Lonchura striata: one gene and its partner. The protein of the gene in region 1 binds, or shares a complex with, the protein of each later gene. Links are inferred from orthologs where the notes say so. Each region holds a gene or a part of one and is shown in the gene's direction. Other genes may lie near its edges.

Region 1 (7,623 bases):
CACAAAAAAACAACATTCATACCAGAATTCATTCAGAATTCATACCACTGGCAGATGTGAAAGTAACCCCATACACTTGTGGTATAGAAGCATGGGTATCTGGTCCAGAAGATGCCTTCCTGCATTCTTTAATAACTAAATTAGACATTATAATGCACTCATGAATTAAATTAAAGGGGTTCCATGTCGGCGTATGCTCAAAATGAGAGACACATTGTAAGGAAATTCTTGCTAAAAAAATGTCCAACTAATTCAAGTTCTCTGCTGAAATCACAGTAGTATTGCTAGGTTAGAATCCAAAAAAATATTGCTATGTGAAGGGAAGAGCTGTTGATAGCATGGTTTTTGTGAATAGCAGCCAGATTGTGATGCCTTGCTTCTGAAAAAAAGATTTCCATAGTATTAGTAGCACACAGATATGAATTTTAGTAAATTCTTATGGCAAAAACTCCCCACATTCTCTACATTGGGATAAAACAAACAATATATGCTAAACACTTTTGCAAGTTTTTGACTCTAAGGTAAAATCCCTGGTCTTGGTAATTTAAGTCCTTAGTGGGCCATTTGACAATCACTGCTGTTTGTGACCATATTTCCACCTATCTGCAGATATAAATTGATAAAAATGAAGTATAATGCCTGGTAGTATTCCAGGAGATCTATGCCAGCAAGTCCCATATCCCAGATAAAGATGAAGAATAGAAAAATCAGTCATTCTCAGATTCATAAGTGAAGCATATAAGTCTTCTAGGTGAATCCAAAATCTTCTACATAAATGAACCCTTCCTAGGTACTCTTGCCAAATTATTTTTAAAAATGCCACCAAAATACAAAATATATCAATAAAACACTTCTGCTGTAACTGGTATGAGAGAATGGGATCATATGGTATATATTCCCCAGCAATTTATTCAATAAATCAAGAGGAAACCCTGAAAGTATTAAATGGACAAGAACATCATAACGAGATTTGACAAACATAAAAGTTGAATACATATTTTGGTGAAAAGTGTAATATACTAATAAAATGCAGAAAGATTCTCTGTTATTCACGTTATAAAAATGTTATTTAAGTTTTCCTGAAGGGCTGTGCTTTGTGTTAATCTTGCTTCTCCTTCGTCAGTCCACACATTATTAATTGTACCTCACAGTCAGTAACAAGCTACAGTGACTGGCAGGACGCCACCTTAAAATTAAGTGCCTAAGGTAGGACACCTTGTATTCATCAATGTTTAAAAGATAAAACTGCCTTGTGCAACTTCCCATGACTGGTGTGGAAACAACAGGTAAGCTAGTTAAACCAGGCTCCTAAGGCAATTTATCCACCCTGTAGTTCTGCACTGAAGGGTGTGCAAGGTGGTGGGGAAGGAAATGGGTTGAGAAGAAAAGCACTTCAGCATGAGAGCTGGAAACTAAGAAGGGAGAACAAAGCACTAAGCCCTCAGGCTATCAGAGATCGGAGGCTTCAGGTCTCCAGATATGCCCTTCTGCAGAAGTGGTAACAGAAATTAAAATTGAAAGATTGATCTTGGAACGGGGTTTTACTCCAAAAGACAGCATCTGGGTGAAGTTTTTTGTAATTCCATCTACACAGCCTCTTGACATAAAATGATAGAACATCTGTTCTAGCAACTGACCTCTGAGTACACAGGTCTCCTGAGATACTGTTGCTGTTGATTGCTTTCATCTATCTGAGCTTTCAACTGGTGATAGCTTTAAATCTGGGCTGAAAAATTATTTGGCGTATAATACTATTATAGAAAGCAATATTTACTTCTTTTTCCCCACCTTAGCTGTGCTAGCTTTCCACCTAGCACATACCAGAAGACACAGCTTTTTCTAACATACTAACATATCTAATTTATAATTAGCTACATTGACAATATCACTGACTGCTCTTTATATCCAGGATAACTGCGGCATTTTAATTCACGGGTATGCAGCACTACTCCTCTGATTGAGTTTCTGATCCCCCAAATCAGATTTTGTCTGCCAGCCCAGAGCACAGTTTGGCACCTCTGTTAAGGTGATGAGGATGGCTCTAAGCGATGTTGTCAGGTGCTGCACGGTGACACCACCACGTTGGCAAGCAGAAGTGCCACGCCGCTGACATTGCAGGGCAGGGCTCTGCCCGGGGTGCACAGCAGCTGCTGGGGCGAGAGCTTCTTCAGGCACTGCAGCCTCATCTGTCCGCAGCACAACAGGAGCACTAACAGCCCAGCGCTCATCCCCACCTCTCCGCGAGAAAGTAACACCGTTCCAAACGGGAAAAATTCGGTACAGAACAAGAGGTGGCTATAAACCACTATTAAATCACATTGTTCTTTATCTGTTCCTACCCCAAGGAAAAAAACTCCTCAGTCATGTTGTACTCATTAACAAATATACTGCACTGCTTTTTCAGTATGTTGGCAGTTCTCTCCGTTCATCTAAAACATTAGTCTTGGCTTAAGGAATATTTCTAGTCAAAAATGACTCAATTTTCTTTAGCAGTATCTCCTTACTTTCACTTCTATCATCTTTTTAAAGTGTAAAGCTTTTTTTATAACCAATTTATAGAGTTCTTCTTTGTTTCTCTTTCTTACAGCAAGAGATGGGGGCTAGAATAATTTCAAATTGTTCATTTAGAATGGCCATTTATTCAGCTGATAATATTATTTAATTTATTAAAGTAAGAGATGAGAAATAGTGGAGGGGGAGGGGGGAAGTAAACTTTCGCCCAAGCCTGAATGAACAACATTCAGCAAGTCTCAAAGCACACGCAGGTGACTCATTCAAAAAAGACAGATCATGTGGAGCCTTATTTTCAATGTCATGAAGCCTCTTCCCCCATGGTTTGAAAGGAATTGGCATCCTCTGGCATTGCCCACGTTTCTTAGGCAGTGTCAAGCAATGATTTCAGTTATGGATGAGGTGACAAACTCTGGGCTGGCAGGGTGCCTCCACCTCCCCATTAGCGGAGCAGCGCCTGGAACCAGCCACCCAAGCGCGGGTCAGGCCGCCCCTCCCGCTGCATCTTCCTTTTCTGGGCAAACACTTCCCTCTCCCGGTACAAACGCTAACTACAGCCACACCACGCCATAAATCATGCCCCATATATTCCCATCTATCCTTTCATGCTTTACTTTAAATATTTGCACTTAATAATGACAATAAACTTAATTTTAATATTACTCGCCTCTTCCCATATGAACGGGATATTCGATGTTTGAGCTTTTTCCCACGTTTGATCAAGAGTTTGGCAGTACCTGTGCTTTTGGCCGGACACCAAGGTCACTTCTACCCCTGACAATTCTATGATTCTGATTCTATGATCATGATAAATGTAATTTATCAAATATTTCTGTCGCCCAGGAGGTATCTGTAGGATATTGCTCAACCTGTAAATTGTCAGCACTGAGGTGATTTTACTGATGATATTAAGTCCCTAATCATTTTTACTTCAGTGGAAATGGTGGGAGACTGTGGTCTAGGGTTTTTTATCAGGAAAAAAATAACCAACAGTTACATCTGTAGAGTCATTTCAGCTTTGGTAATAGTGAAATGTGAAAGGTCTGGGCACAGTCTGATGAGGAGTGGCTGAGGAAGCTGGGGTTGCTTAGCCTGGAAAAGGGAGGCTCAGGTTGTTGTTCAAAATAGGTTCATTCACCTGATATTTAAGAAGCCAGTCCACAATCTGAGTCGAGGTGTTTTATTTACTTACAGTCCTGAGCAGAGGACTGCCGAGCAGCAAATCCACAAAGCCAGCACACTGACTACCAATATGTTTCCCTATTTATACATTTTAGCAAACAAAGGCATTAATGTTCACTGGCAACAAGTTGCATAGTTCTCTTATTAATTTGTATTCTATCTTCTGTTAGTTAAGTAATTCCCTCATACTCACTCTAATTAATCGCTATGGCCAGGCCTTCTCCTGAGCCCATGGGTCGGTGGTTGCAATCTCCCTGTCAGAATTACCTTATACTCAGCTCCAGCCGATTCCAGCACAGTTGCAGAGTTGGCTTTGTCACTTCCGTCCTTATCTCGGGAGTTCTGCCAAACTTTCTGGTGACCTGCAAATGCTGCATTCTTTTGTGTCCACTCTCAGTGGCACATCCTTCTCCTCAAGCTTAGCGGACCATCCGAGATCACTGAACCATGTCAAATACTAAACTTTTAACAAGCCAATTCCACCGAGAAGCCATTTATCCTTCTAACACCTGCACGTCAAGGGAAGACCTCATCACCCTCTGCAAGGAGGAGGCTGTGCACAGCCGGGGCCGGCCTCGTCTCCCCGGCAACACCGACGGGACAGGAGCAAACGGCCCCAGGCGGTGCCCCGGGAGGTTCAGCCTGGCCACCGGGAACGGCCGCCCCGCCGGCGGGGCTGCCGGGCATTGGAACGGGCTCTCCAGGGAAGCGGCGGAGGCGCCATCTCTGGAAGCGTGCGGATGTGGCCCTTGCGGACGCGTTTTGGCGGCGGGCCGGGCAGTGCCGGGTTAGGGGCTGGACCCGACCGTCCCGGCGGCGTTTCCCGAGCCGCAGCCGGGCGCCGCTGGGCGCGGCCGGGCCCGTCCCGCCGCCGCTGCCGCGTCCCGCCGGGAGGGCGGGGCCGCGGCGTCATCCGCGCGCGCCCGCCGCGCCGCCCGCCCGCCGACATGTCGCCGCCGCTCTTCAGCCTGCCCGAGGCGCGGCTCCGCTTCACGGTGAGCCTCCCCCGCCTCCCTCCGGCCTTCGCTCCATTCCTGCCGCTCGGGCCGGGCTACGGGACGCGGCTGTGCCTCGGCGCCCCCGGGCCCGCGGCCCGGCCGCTCCCTGATGGAGCTGGGCGCGGCCGAGGTGCGGCGGCGCGGGGCGGCAGCGAGGGCGGGCTGCACGCCCGCTCGGCCGGGGCCGGGGGACCAGTCACCAGGGTAGCGGAATTAATGTGAAAGACAAAGTGTAGCGTGCCTCCTGCAGCAAAACGTCCGGGCGTACTGCGTTTGCTGCCTCTGCTGAAGGATGCCTTTCCTGTCCCAGAGCTGGGGGCTCCGTGTGTTCCCAGGCCTCTGGATCCCGGCGTTTGCCAGCCAGGTTGTCAGACAAGAGGATGGGATTTGCACTGAAGTGCTCGAGGCACAAGCACTCGATTCATTAGACCGAATTTGTAACAGGAAGTCGTAATTTTTAGACCATCTTCTTAGCAGGAGTCGTGTGCTTTTAAACATCTTCATAAACGCAGGACTTGCAGGGATCCTATGCAAGTTTGAAGGTGATAGAAAATTGGGAGGAGTTACTAACTCCCTTGAAGACAGCGAGAGGCTTTCAGGCACACGATGCGATTCTTGGGGCTGTCTGTGCAGAGCCAGGAGTTGGACTTGATAATCCTTGTGGGTCCCATCTGACTCAGAATATTCTCTGATCTGTGTCCCAAACCACCATAACCACCTGAAGCTGTGAGTGTAGCACGTGAGACAATGATGGATACAGTGTTGGTGTTTGCACTACACTGTTACCCCAGGTTTGAGGTGTGATGCTCTGTAGCTCACGTGCTTAATTTCCCATGTACTTGTTATTTGCCCTTCCTATTACAAAGCTCTCTCTGTAAACTAACACAAGGTGTGTGGCAGAAGGATTCCTTAGTATTTCTGCCCACTGTCAGATGAAGGAGGAAGATGCTTTAAGTTTTGTGCTTTCCTTAGCTTTTCTTTCTTTGCATTTTGGTAGACATCCACCAGAGAGGCTCTGATTAACAAAAGCATCAAGCCATTGTTGAATGCATTTAACCAGGTTCCTGGAAGGTAAGTAAAGGCCACTTGATTTTTTAAAAAGTACCTATTTAGATCAGTTTTAGTAATCTTGTGCCTGAGGGTTGTTACTAACTATGGTGGAATGTTTTCTTTTGCAGTGAAAATGAAAAGAAGTGTACCTTGGATCAAGTTTTTAGAGTTGTTGTAGAAGAAGAAATAGTAAGTATTTTAAACTGCTGAAGCTTATCTCTTCTTCAGCCTCAAATTTCTATTAGCGGGCTCGTGTATTAATGTAATAACAATTTACTTTAGTGTGAGAAAACACTTTATTAAAAACAAGAGCTATGTAATGGTGAGGTAATTGAGATGAAATACAGATGATTCAAGGAGATTGGTAGAATCTTGTATTTTACAGACATCACACTATGGTGAGAGCTGTTTGAGCCTTTTCTAGCAGTTCTTTGTAATGCTTATGAAAGTCTGCTACATCTTAAAATTCTAATTCATAAACATGCATCGTTCAGTAATTGTTCTTTAAGAGTGGGTGGAAAGGGTAGGTTTGGAGTAGATGTCAGAAAGAAATTCTTCACTGTGAGGGTGGTGAGGCACTGGAACAAGTTGTCCCAAAATGTTCTGGATGCTCCATCCAATGTGGAAGTGATCAAGGTCAGGTTGGATGGGGCTTTCAGCAACCTGGGCTAGTGAAAGGTGTCTCTGCCCCTGGCAGCGGGGTTTGAGCACTGAGATATTTTGCCCTCCTCAAATCAAAATTCTTTTGTGGTATGTTACTAATATGTAACAAAGCTGCCTTGTCAGCTGAAAAGAATGATAAAAGGAGTCAAATAATGTATGATCAAGTAATATTCAAATGAAGTCTGAATGTGGGATACTAATTTTCAGAAGTAAATGACTGTACATTTGGGTCTTTAGTGGGTGGAAGCAGTCAGGAAAGGTTTAATTTTCAATAAAAATTCAACTGCAGTTAACTGATAGGTCAGATTTCATAGATTGTTTTGAAAAGTTGAATTTCAGCATTTGTTTTAAATATGCCTACTTGGAAACAAGAATTTTACTTTTGTTAGGTACATTATGGTTAGTTTGGAGAATTTCAACACTGTTTTCTTTGTTTAGATAAACAAAGCTCCATGTGAGAATCTCCTGGCAATTATTTCTCTTGCTATTAATGGAGTCACAGAAGGTGAGCATTTCTCTTTCAAATCTATTGGCAGTTTCAAAGACCATTTAGGGAAATTTTAAAATCTTGATTTCTGTAAATCATCTGCTGTGATTACATTTGGTGATATATAGCTCTTATGTTAGTGGTTAAGCTTGGATTTGTTTCAGAAGAGAAATTAAGTATAATATAATTAAATTTGGTTATATATGTGACATTTATGTTGGAAAATTTTTGTTTGTTTGTTTGTTAATAAAAAAAGATGAATGGGTTTGGTTGCAGCATGATTAGCAGTTTCTTTGTCCAGCACTCTAAAATGATTAGAAGTTTCCCATCATAATTTTAAAGATGAGACCACTGAGGCAGAGAGGTAAAATGACTTGGCAGAGGCAGAAATAACATCTCCTGGGTATCTGTGCTCATCTCCTGTCAGTATATGGCTGGTTTTTACATATTTAAATCTGTTTTAATGACAGCTTGTGTCAGACATCAGTGTGCTGTTCTCCTCTGAAATGGCTTTTGCTCTCTTCCTTTTCTTTATTTGTTCACATTATTCATCAAAAATTGTTTGTTTTAGTAAGTACAGATTACAAGCTGTATGTTTTGTGAGCTGTAGAATAACAAGAACTGTGCTTTGAGGAAAGCAGTCACTGCCTACAGAGCATGGGTGGATGGACTTGGAGCTCTGTTTTAGTGGTTCTTGAAAAGGTTCACAGGCTTCATGGATGTGTGTAGTGG
Region 2 (7,388 bases), on another chromosome or scaffold:
CATAACGGGGCTGAGAGTGGGAGCAGAGAGGGACTGGGACCATAACGGGGCTGAGAGTGGGAGCAGAGAGGGACTGGGACCATGGAGGGACTGAGGCCATGTAGGGACAGCGATGGGGGCCATATAGGGTCAGGGACCGTGTGGGAACTTGGACCATATAGGGACAGGACCATATAGGGACTTGGGCCATATAGGGACAGGACTTGGGCCATATAAGGACAGGATCATATAGGAACTCGAGCCATACAGGGTCAGGGACAGAACCATATAAGGACTTGGGCCATATAGGGACAGGAATGGGATCGTACAGGGACTTGGGCTATACAGGAATAGGAATGGGATCATTCGGGACTCGGGCCATATAGGACCACAGGACCCCGTGTGACAGGGTGACCATGTGCAGGGGCTCAGTGTCCACTTCCACATCCTGGTCCTGGGGTTCTCCACAGCCGGTGTGGCCCCACCAGGGATGGTGACCGTGTCCAGCGCGGTGCCCAGCCCGGCAGTGGCCCCTGCTGGCCCCATCGGGGCTCGCTGCAGGGACCCAGGGGCCGCGGCAGGAGCCCGGAGCCACCGCGGGGTCCCCAGCGCGGCCACCGCAGCTCCTCCCTCTCCAAAGCCTCTTCCAGAGCCCCGGCGATGGGATGGGGAGACAAGATGGGCCCAGCCCAGCACCGGGAACTGGAGCGACTGGTTTAGCTGGGTCAAAGTGGAGCAGGGGAGTCGCAGTGGCTGAAACCTGTTCCAAGCTGTGTGTAAAGCTCCTGGCATGTCCCTCACTGCTCCCGCTTCCCAGAGCTCGTCCTGGGAATCTGCCAGCCGTGCTGGGCGCGCTCTGCCCCGGCCGCAGGGTCCGGGACCCCCCGGGACCCCTCGGGACCCCCCCAGTGCTGGGGTTCGCCCTGGGGCTGCTGTCCCGAAGGGTTTGGGGGTCCCGCTGTCCCTCGGACACTGCGGCCGTGCCGCTGCCCGCAGTCCTGGCCCTGTCCCCTCTGTCCCCTGGCAGGGACCGGGGTCGGGGTTATTTTTGGGCAATGCCCGTCCCTGTCACGAGCAGCTGCTGGCCCGGTGACTCTCCCGGGCGTTCCCGGAATCCTGCCCGCCGCTCGGGGACCGGGACACGGCGAGTGAGTGCCACGGGCCCCTCCCAGTGCCCCCATGCCCAGCCTCGGGATTTGGGGATCCGGCCCCTCCCGGAGCCCCAGGGATGGAGCCGGGTCCTGCTGGGAGGCAGCTCCTGAGCCGCCCTTTGGGATCCCTGCTCCTCTCTGGAACTCGCAATTCCAGCTGGGACCCCTCCTCTGCTTGGGGACCCCCCAGTTTCCCCATTCCCTGGGCGCTGGGGAGGGTGCCCAGGCAGTTTTGGGGTGCCCAGGCAGGGCCCATCCTCAGCCGCAGGGACGGGAAGTGAGGGAGGTGGAAGCAGAGGCAACAGGATGTAATTAGCCCCAAATTAGGGCTGGAACCCGGCATGAGGAGCCCGGCACCACCCGGCCCTGCTGAAAATGCAGCTCCTGTTTGAGGGGGTCCCAATCCTGAGGGAGGCTGAGGGATCTGGGGGCTGAAGCACTTGGGGTTGAGGAATTGGGGTGATCAGGAATCTGGGGGATCAGGAATTCGGGGGATCAGGAATTTGGGGACTGAAGCATTTGGGGGCTGAGGAATTTGGGGGCTGAAGCATTTGAGGGATCAGGAATTTGGGGGATCAGGAATTTGAGGGCTGAGGAATTCGGGGGCTGAGGAATTCGGGAGCTGATCTCCCCGGGGATGCCGGAGCCGGGCAGGCTGCGGGCTCCATCCCGCGCGGATCCGGGGCCGTAACGGGATCCGCGGATTATCAGCATCACCCGGGCCGGCTCGGAGTCCGGTTTCCTGGCCGAGGCGTTGCTGCAGCAACGCCGGGCTCGGGATTGTGGGGCCTTTTCAGCCGGACAAGAGTCCTTTGAGCGCGGGGGGCCCCCGCGGAGTCACCCGATAGCCCCCGCCGCTCCCCCCGGGCCCCGCCGGCCCCGCGGCCGCTCCGAGGACACCGGATCCCTTCATCGGCCCCGGGAGCGGGGCTGGCCGCGGCCCCGGCCCCGCGGCGCTGACGGACGGGGGATGCCGGCGGTGCCCCCGCGGGGTCACGGCGTGGCCACCGCGGCCACCGGCGGGGGCGCCGGGCACTGAGCCCGGCGGGGGACCCCGGTGCCCGTGCCGGTGCCCGTGCCGGTGCCGGTGCCGGTGCCAGTGCCCGTGCCCGTGCCCATGCCGGTGCCGGTGCCGGTGCCCGTGCCGGTGCCCGTGCCCATGCCGGTGCCCGTGCCGGTGCCCGTGCCGGTGCCCGTGCCCGTGCCGGTGCCCGTGCCCGTGCCGGCCCTCCCTACATCCCCGGTTTTTCCACATCCCGGGGGCGGCGAGGGGCGCTCGGGGGTGGCACGGGGAGCCCCCCTGAAGTGGGGCTGTCTCCCCAGCCGTGTCCCCGGGGCCAGGCCGGGGTTGTGCCCCCCACGCCCGGCCCCGCGGGGCTGGCCGGCGGTGCCAGCCGGGCTGCCCAGCCCCGGTATCGGATCCTCCCGGAGGGAGGGGGCTTGGAGCTTATTTAACGGGCCCGGCCGGGCCGGGCGGGCGCACTCGGAGCACGGGGAGCTCAGGTGAGCACAGGTGTCCCCGTCCCCCCCAAACCTCCCCGCCCAGCCCCTGGGAACCCCCCCAGTCCTGCCCAGGGGGACCGCGGCCGCGGGTGGGTGACATGTGGGGGTGGCACCGAGACGGGGGGGCCGGTGGGTGACGTGCTGGGGGTCCCGCAGCCACAGCCATGGGATCGCAGCTGGAAGGGGCCATGGAGACCCTGATCAATGTGTTCCACCACTACTCGGGCAAGGAGGGGGACAAGTACAAGCTGAGCAAGAAGGAGCTCAAGGAGCTGCTGCAGAGCGAGCTGGGATGTTTCCTGGAGGTAACTGGGACCAGTTTGGGGTGCGGGGGTCTCCCTTTCCCCGTTCCCCGGGGGAACAGCGGCTGCCCAGCCCCAGGGCTCACCCTGTGTCCCCCCCAGACCCAGAAGGACGCGGGGGCCGTGGAGAAGATCATGCAGGACCTGGATGAGAACGGCGACGGGGAGGTGGATTTCCAGGAATTTGTGGTCCTGGTGGCCGCTCTGACCGTGGCCTGCAACAACTTCTTCTGGGAGAACGCCTGACCCCCCTCCTGCCGCAGCAGGACGTGGGCTCCCAAAATCCAGAGCCCCCCCGCCACCCTCCGGCTCACCCCCTCAGCATTCCCAGGGGATCCCACTGGGATCCAGCTGCACAATAAAGGCACAACCCTGCCCGAGGTGTGTCCGTGTGCGTCAGCTCCTTCCTTCATTCCTGCTCGGGATTCCTGCCCCATCCCCTGGGAATATCCCACTCTGGGCGCACAGGGAAAAGCCAGCCTGGGTCACCCCAGAAGCCTGGAGACAGCCCTGGCTCCACCCCAGGATCCACCCTGGGATCCACCCGGGATCCACCCTGGGATTCACCCTGGGATCCGCCCCGACCGCCCGGGGCAGGGTGACCCCAGGGCGGGGGATCCCGGCCGGTGTCAGGGTGTGGGACACGGGAGCCCCGGGATTTGGGAAGGGGGTGACAGGCCGGGACTCGCTGCCGGTGGCTCCGGAGGCGCCAGCACTGCTCCCGCGGGGCTGGAGGAACCGGTTGGGATCTCCCAGCCCACTGGGATGGGACGGTGGCCAAGGGCCCCACCAGGGCCACCAGCGCCATCATCTGCCCGCCATCCCGGCTTGGGATCGGCCCTGCCTGGGTGGGATGGACATCGGGACAGGGGCACGGGACAGGGGTCAAGGAGCAGCTGGGCAGTGCTCCCAGGGACATGGTGGGACACCAGGAGTGTCATGGGCAGGGGACTCCACGGTCCTTACAGACCCCTTCCAACTCCGCAACTCCCTAACGCCTGGATCCTATATGATTCCACAGCTGAGCATTTTGTGATTCCATAATTCCAAGATTCCATGGAGCTGACAGAGGAGCTGATAAAGCTGACACAATTCCGTGGGACGTGGGGATCCCAGCACCGCGTGACTCCGTGACTCCACAGCTCCATGACTCCACGGTTCCTTGACCCCCCTGACTCCCTCATCCCACGGTTCCATGACGGTTCCATGACGGTTCCATGACGGTTTCATGACGTTTCCATGACGTGACCATGACGACACCGCTCTCTATGACGTCACGGGGACTCCACCCCTACTCCCGCCAGAACGTTCCCGCCTCTCCCTCAGCCCCGCCCCTTTCCCCGCCCCCTCCGCCGCTCCACCAATCACCGCCCGGCCCGGGGGGGCTCGCGCGGCGGTGGGCGTGGCCGGGAGCGCGGCCGCCATTTCGGCGGGGGCGGGAGCGGCGCCGGCGCCATTTTGTCGCGGGCGGCTGAGGGAGAAGCGGCAGCGGCGGCGGCGGGCGGAGCTCAGCGCCAGCCCCGGCCCGCGCCGGCCCCACACCGGCCCCGCACTCACTCACCCGCCCGCCCGCCCGCCCGCCTGCTGGCCGAGCCACCGGAGACCTGGCGACCGTGTGCTTCGGTGAGTGACCGGCCCGGCTGCGCGGGGGCGGGGCGCCGGGGGCCGCTCCTGAGGGCCGGGGGGTCCCCTCAGGGCCCCCTCATAGCCCGGAGAGCCCCTCACGGTCGGGGCTTTTCCTCCGGAGCCGGGCCTGCGGGAGGCGGAGCGGTTTGTTTTTATTTTTTTTTAATCCTCAGGAAGAAAAATGCTTTAAGAACCACTTCAAATTGAAGAAGCTGCTGTATATTAAAACAAAATTATTATAATTAGTTTCAAGCAGCAATGAGGCTTTCTGTTGTCTCAGTTTCTGGTTGTAAATCCTCTCAATAAAACGTTTTTTTCAGGGTACTATAGAATAAACGCATCCCGGCCGTCATCCACTCATTCGATTTGCTGCTAATTATAAAATAAATTAATAAATCGATCTGCAGAGCTCGGGGGTTGGAGCCCAGCGTGTTTCTGTAGCATCCAGCACTGGGGGGGGATTTAAATCCCTACCCTGAGGGAATTGGAACCTCCATGTTTTTAAAGGGTACGATGCTTTTGTAGCATCGTCTTGGATTTTTATTCCCTGTGCCCTTAAAATTGGGGTTTGCACCTTGGTCATGCTAAGAACACGGGAAATGTGGAGGTGTCAGTGTGCAAAAGGCGTTTGGGTGCTATTTACACCTGGATTTGTATGTTATTACTCAGAAAAACGATAAGGTATTCACTGTAAAAATATAAATTTTTACTAAAGGTAAATTAAAATAACTCCCTTTTTTATTAAACCTGGTAGAGGGCTAGAAAACATTAAAAATGCATAAATACAATACCTATAACTAGCCTCACTCTTAGTTCTCTCCACAGAGAGCAGAAGTTTTTTAATGTTTAATCATGTAAATACGTAATAATTGTTTTAATTTGATGTCTTGGATTCTGTTTTGCATCTTTGCTCTGGAGGTGGCATTTGGTTGCCATCTTGCTCCTGGATTTTTGTGTTATTTTTCCTAATATTGCTGAAGCATTCACTGTAAAATGATATATTTTTGGTAAGGGAGAAATAAAGGAACTCCCTGATTTATTAAAACCGGGAGAAGACCAAAAAGCATTCAAAATCCCAGAATCAGAACAGAAAAATTCTGGCAGAGGGCTAAAAATCAGTGGGGAAAAATGAATATATTGCACATAACCTGCCCTAATCTTGATTTCCTTCACCCAAAGAGGCAGAACGGAAGGGATGTTTAGTATTTTGCAGTATAAATGTGTAATAAATGTCTAAATTTTCCCTTCTGGGCCCTGTTTTGCAGATTCTCTGAAGATGGCTGCACAGTCAGCACCGAAGGTCGTGCTAAAGAGCACCACCAAGATGTCTCTGAACGAGCGGTGAGGAAGCCAACGGCACCTTCAGCTCCTAAGAAATCATATATAATTTTTTTTTTTTTTTTTTACTTAATTCTCACTATCCAAAAATCCAAAAACCCACCGTGGTTTCCGCCCTCTTTTAACCTCGTCGAGCGAGCGGGTGCCTCCACCCCCGCCTTACCCTCCGACCCCTGCGGCACGCAAGGTTAAAAGGGCCAAAAATCCCGGAGGGATTGCTCCGTGTTTAGTGTTGATTCGCCTCGTAAATCCGGTGGGATGTGTTGTTGTAAGAGCAGAGACCAGCCTCACACCCTCCCTGTCTCTCCCACATGTTTTGACATTGGTATTTTGGCTCTGCTGCCGCGCCCGAGGCTCCCACCCGCCCGGGTGGGCCCTGTAAGAGGCCGGCGGCGGCCCCGGAACCGGCCCAAAGGCTCTTCTGGGCCTTGTAAGAGGCACCAGCTTCGCTTCACCTCCATCTCTCTCTGTCCTCGAGCTCTTCCCGTGGGTCATTCCGCTGGGTTTCTCCACGTGTGGCTCCTCTGTGACGACTAACGGGTGTCCTGCTGAGCATTTTGGGGTTAAACACGCTGGCCTGGGGCAGCTGCTCTGCCACTGAGCATTTTGGGGTTAAACACTGGAATGGAGCAGCTACTGTCCCACTGAGCATTTTGGGGTTAAACACCCTGGAATGGAGCAGCCACTGTCCCACTGAGCATTTTGGGGTTAAACACGCTGCCATGGGGTAACCACCATCCCACTGAGCATTCTGGGGTTAAACACCCTGGAATGGAGCAGCCACTGTCCTACTGAGCATTTTGGGGTTAAACACCCTGAAATGGGGCAGCCACTCTCCCACTGAGCATTTTTGGGTTACACACGCTGCCATGGGGTAACCACTGTCCCAGTGAGTATTTTGGGGTTAAACACCCTGAAATGGGGCAGCCACTCTCCCACTGAGCATTTTGGGGTTAAACACCCTGAAATGGGGCAGCCACTGTCCTACTGAGCATTTTGGGGTTAAACACCCTGGAATGGGGCAGCCACTCTCCCACTGAGCATTTTGGGGTTAAACACGCTGCCATGGGGTAACCACTGTCCCAGTGAGTATTTTGGGGTTAAACACGCTGCCATGGGGTAACCACTGTCCCAGTGAGTATTTTGGGGTTAAACACCCTGAAATGGGGCAGCCACTCTCCCACTGAGCATTTTGGGGTTAAACACGCTGCCATGGTGTAACCACTGTCCCAGTGAGCATTTTGGGGTTAAACACCCTGGAATGGAGCAGCCACTGTCCCAGTGAGCATTTTGGGGTTAAACACCCTGGAATGGGGCAGCTTTTGCTCCCTGCAGGCAGCTCAGGGACACCTTGCTGCCCCTTCCCCCCCGTCAGACCAAACTCCTCGTTTTTAGGATGGGTTTTGTTCGCCAGCTCCCAGGAAGCTGCTGGGGTGCTGCTGAGGAGTTTTATTTTCCGCCTCGCTGCGTCCATGGAGAAAAAAAACAC

The links. The genes of interacting proteins can lie anywhere in the genome.
Region 2: THOC1 (region 1) and CHTOP share a complex: the UniProt entries of both Homo sapiens proteins name them as parts of the transcription/export (TREX) complex. The link is inferred for Lonchura striata from reciprocal best matches to the Homo sapiens genes THOC1 and CHTOP.

What each region holds. Positions count from the first base shown.
Region 1 is NC_134603.1:48,096,375-48,103,997, reverse strand, and holds the start of THOC1 (THO complex subunit 1), read left to right. Parts: upstream 1-4,603; 5' UTR 4,604-4,640; coding exon 4,641-4,688; intron 4,689-5,688; coding exon 5,689-5,762; intron 5,763-5,869; coding exon 5,870-5,930; intron 5,931-6,842; coding exon 6,843-6,909; intron 6,910-7,623. UniProt on the Homo sapiens protein: Component of the THO subcomplex of the TREX complex which is thought to couple mRNA transcription, processing and nuclear export, and which specifically associates with spliced mRNA and not with unspliced pre-mRNA.
Region 2 is NC_134635.1:3,147,173-3,154,560, reverse strand, and holds the start of CHTOP (chromatin target of PRMT1 protein), read left to right. Parts: upstream 1-4,380; 5' UTR 4,381-4,558; intron 4,559-5,826; 5' UTR 5,827-5,837; coding exon 5,838-5,902; intron 5,903-7,388. Other genes in the region: S100A1 (protein S100-A1), read left to right, coding at 2,798-2,938, 3,038-3,181. UniProt on the Homo sapiens protein: Plays an important role in the ligand-dependent activation of estrogen receptor target genes. May play a role in the silencing of fetal globin genes.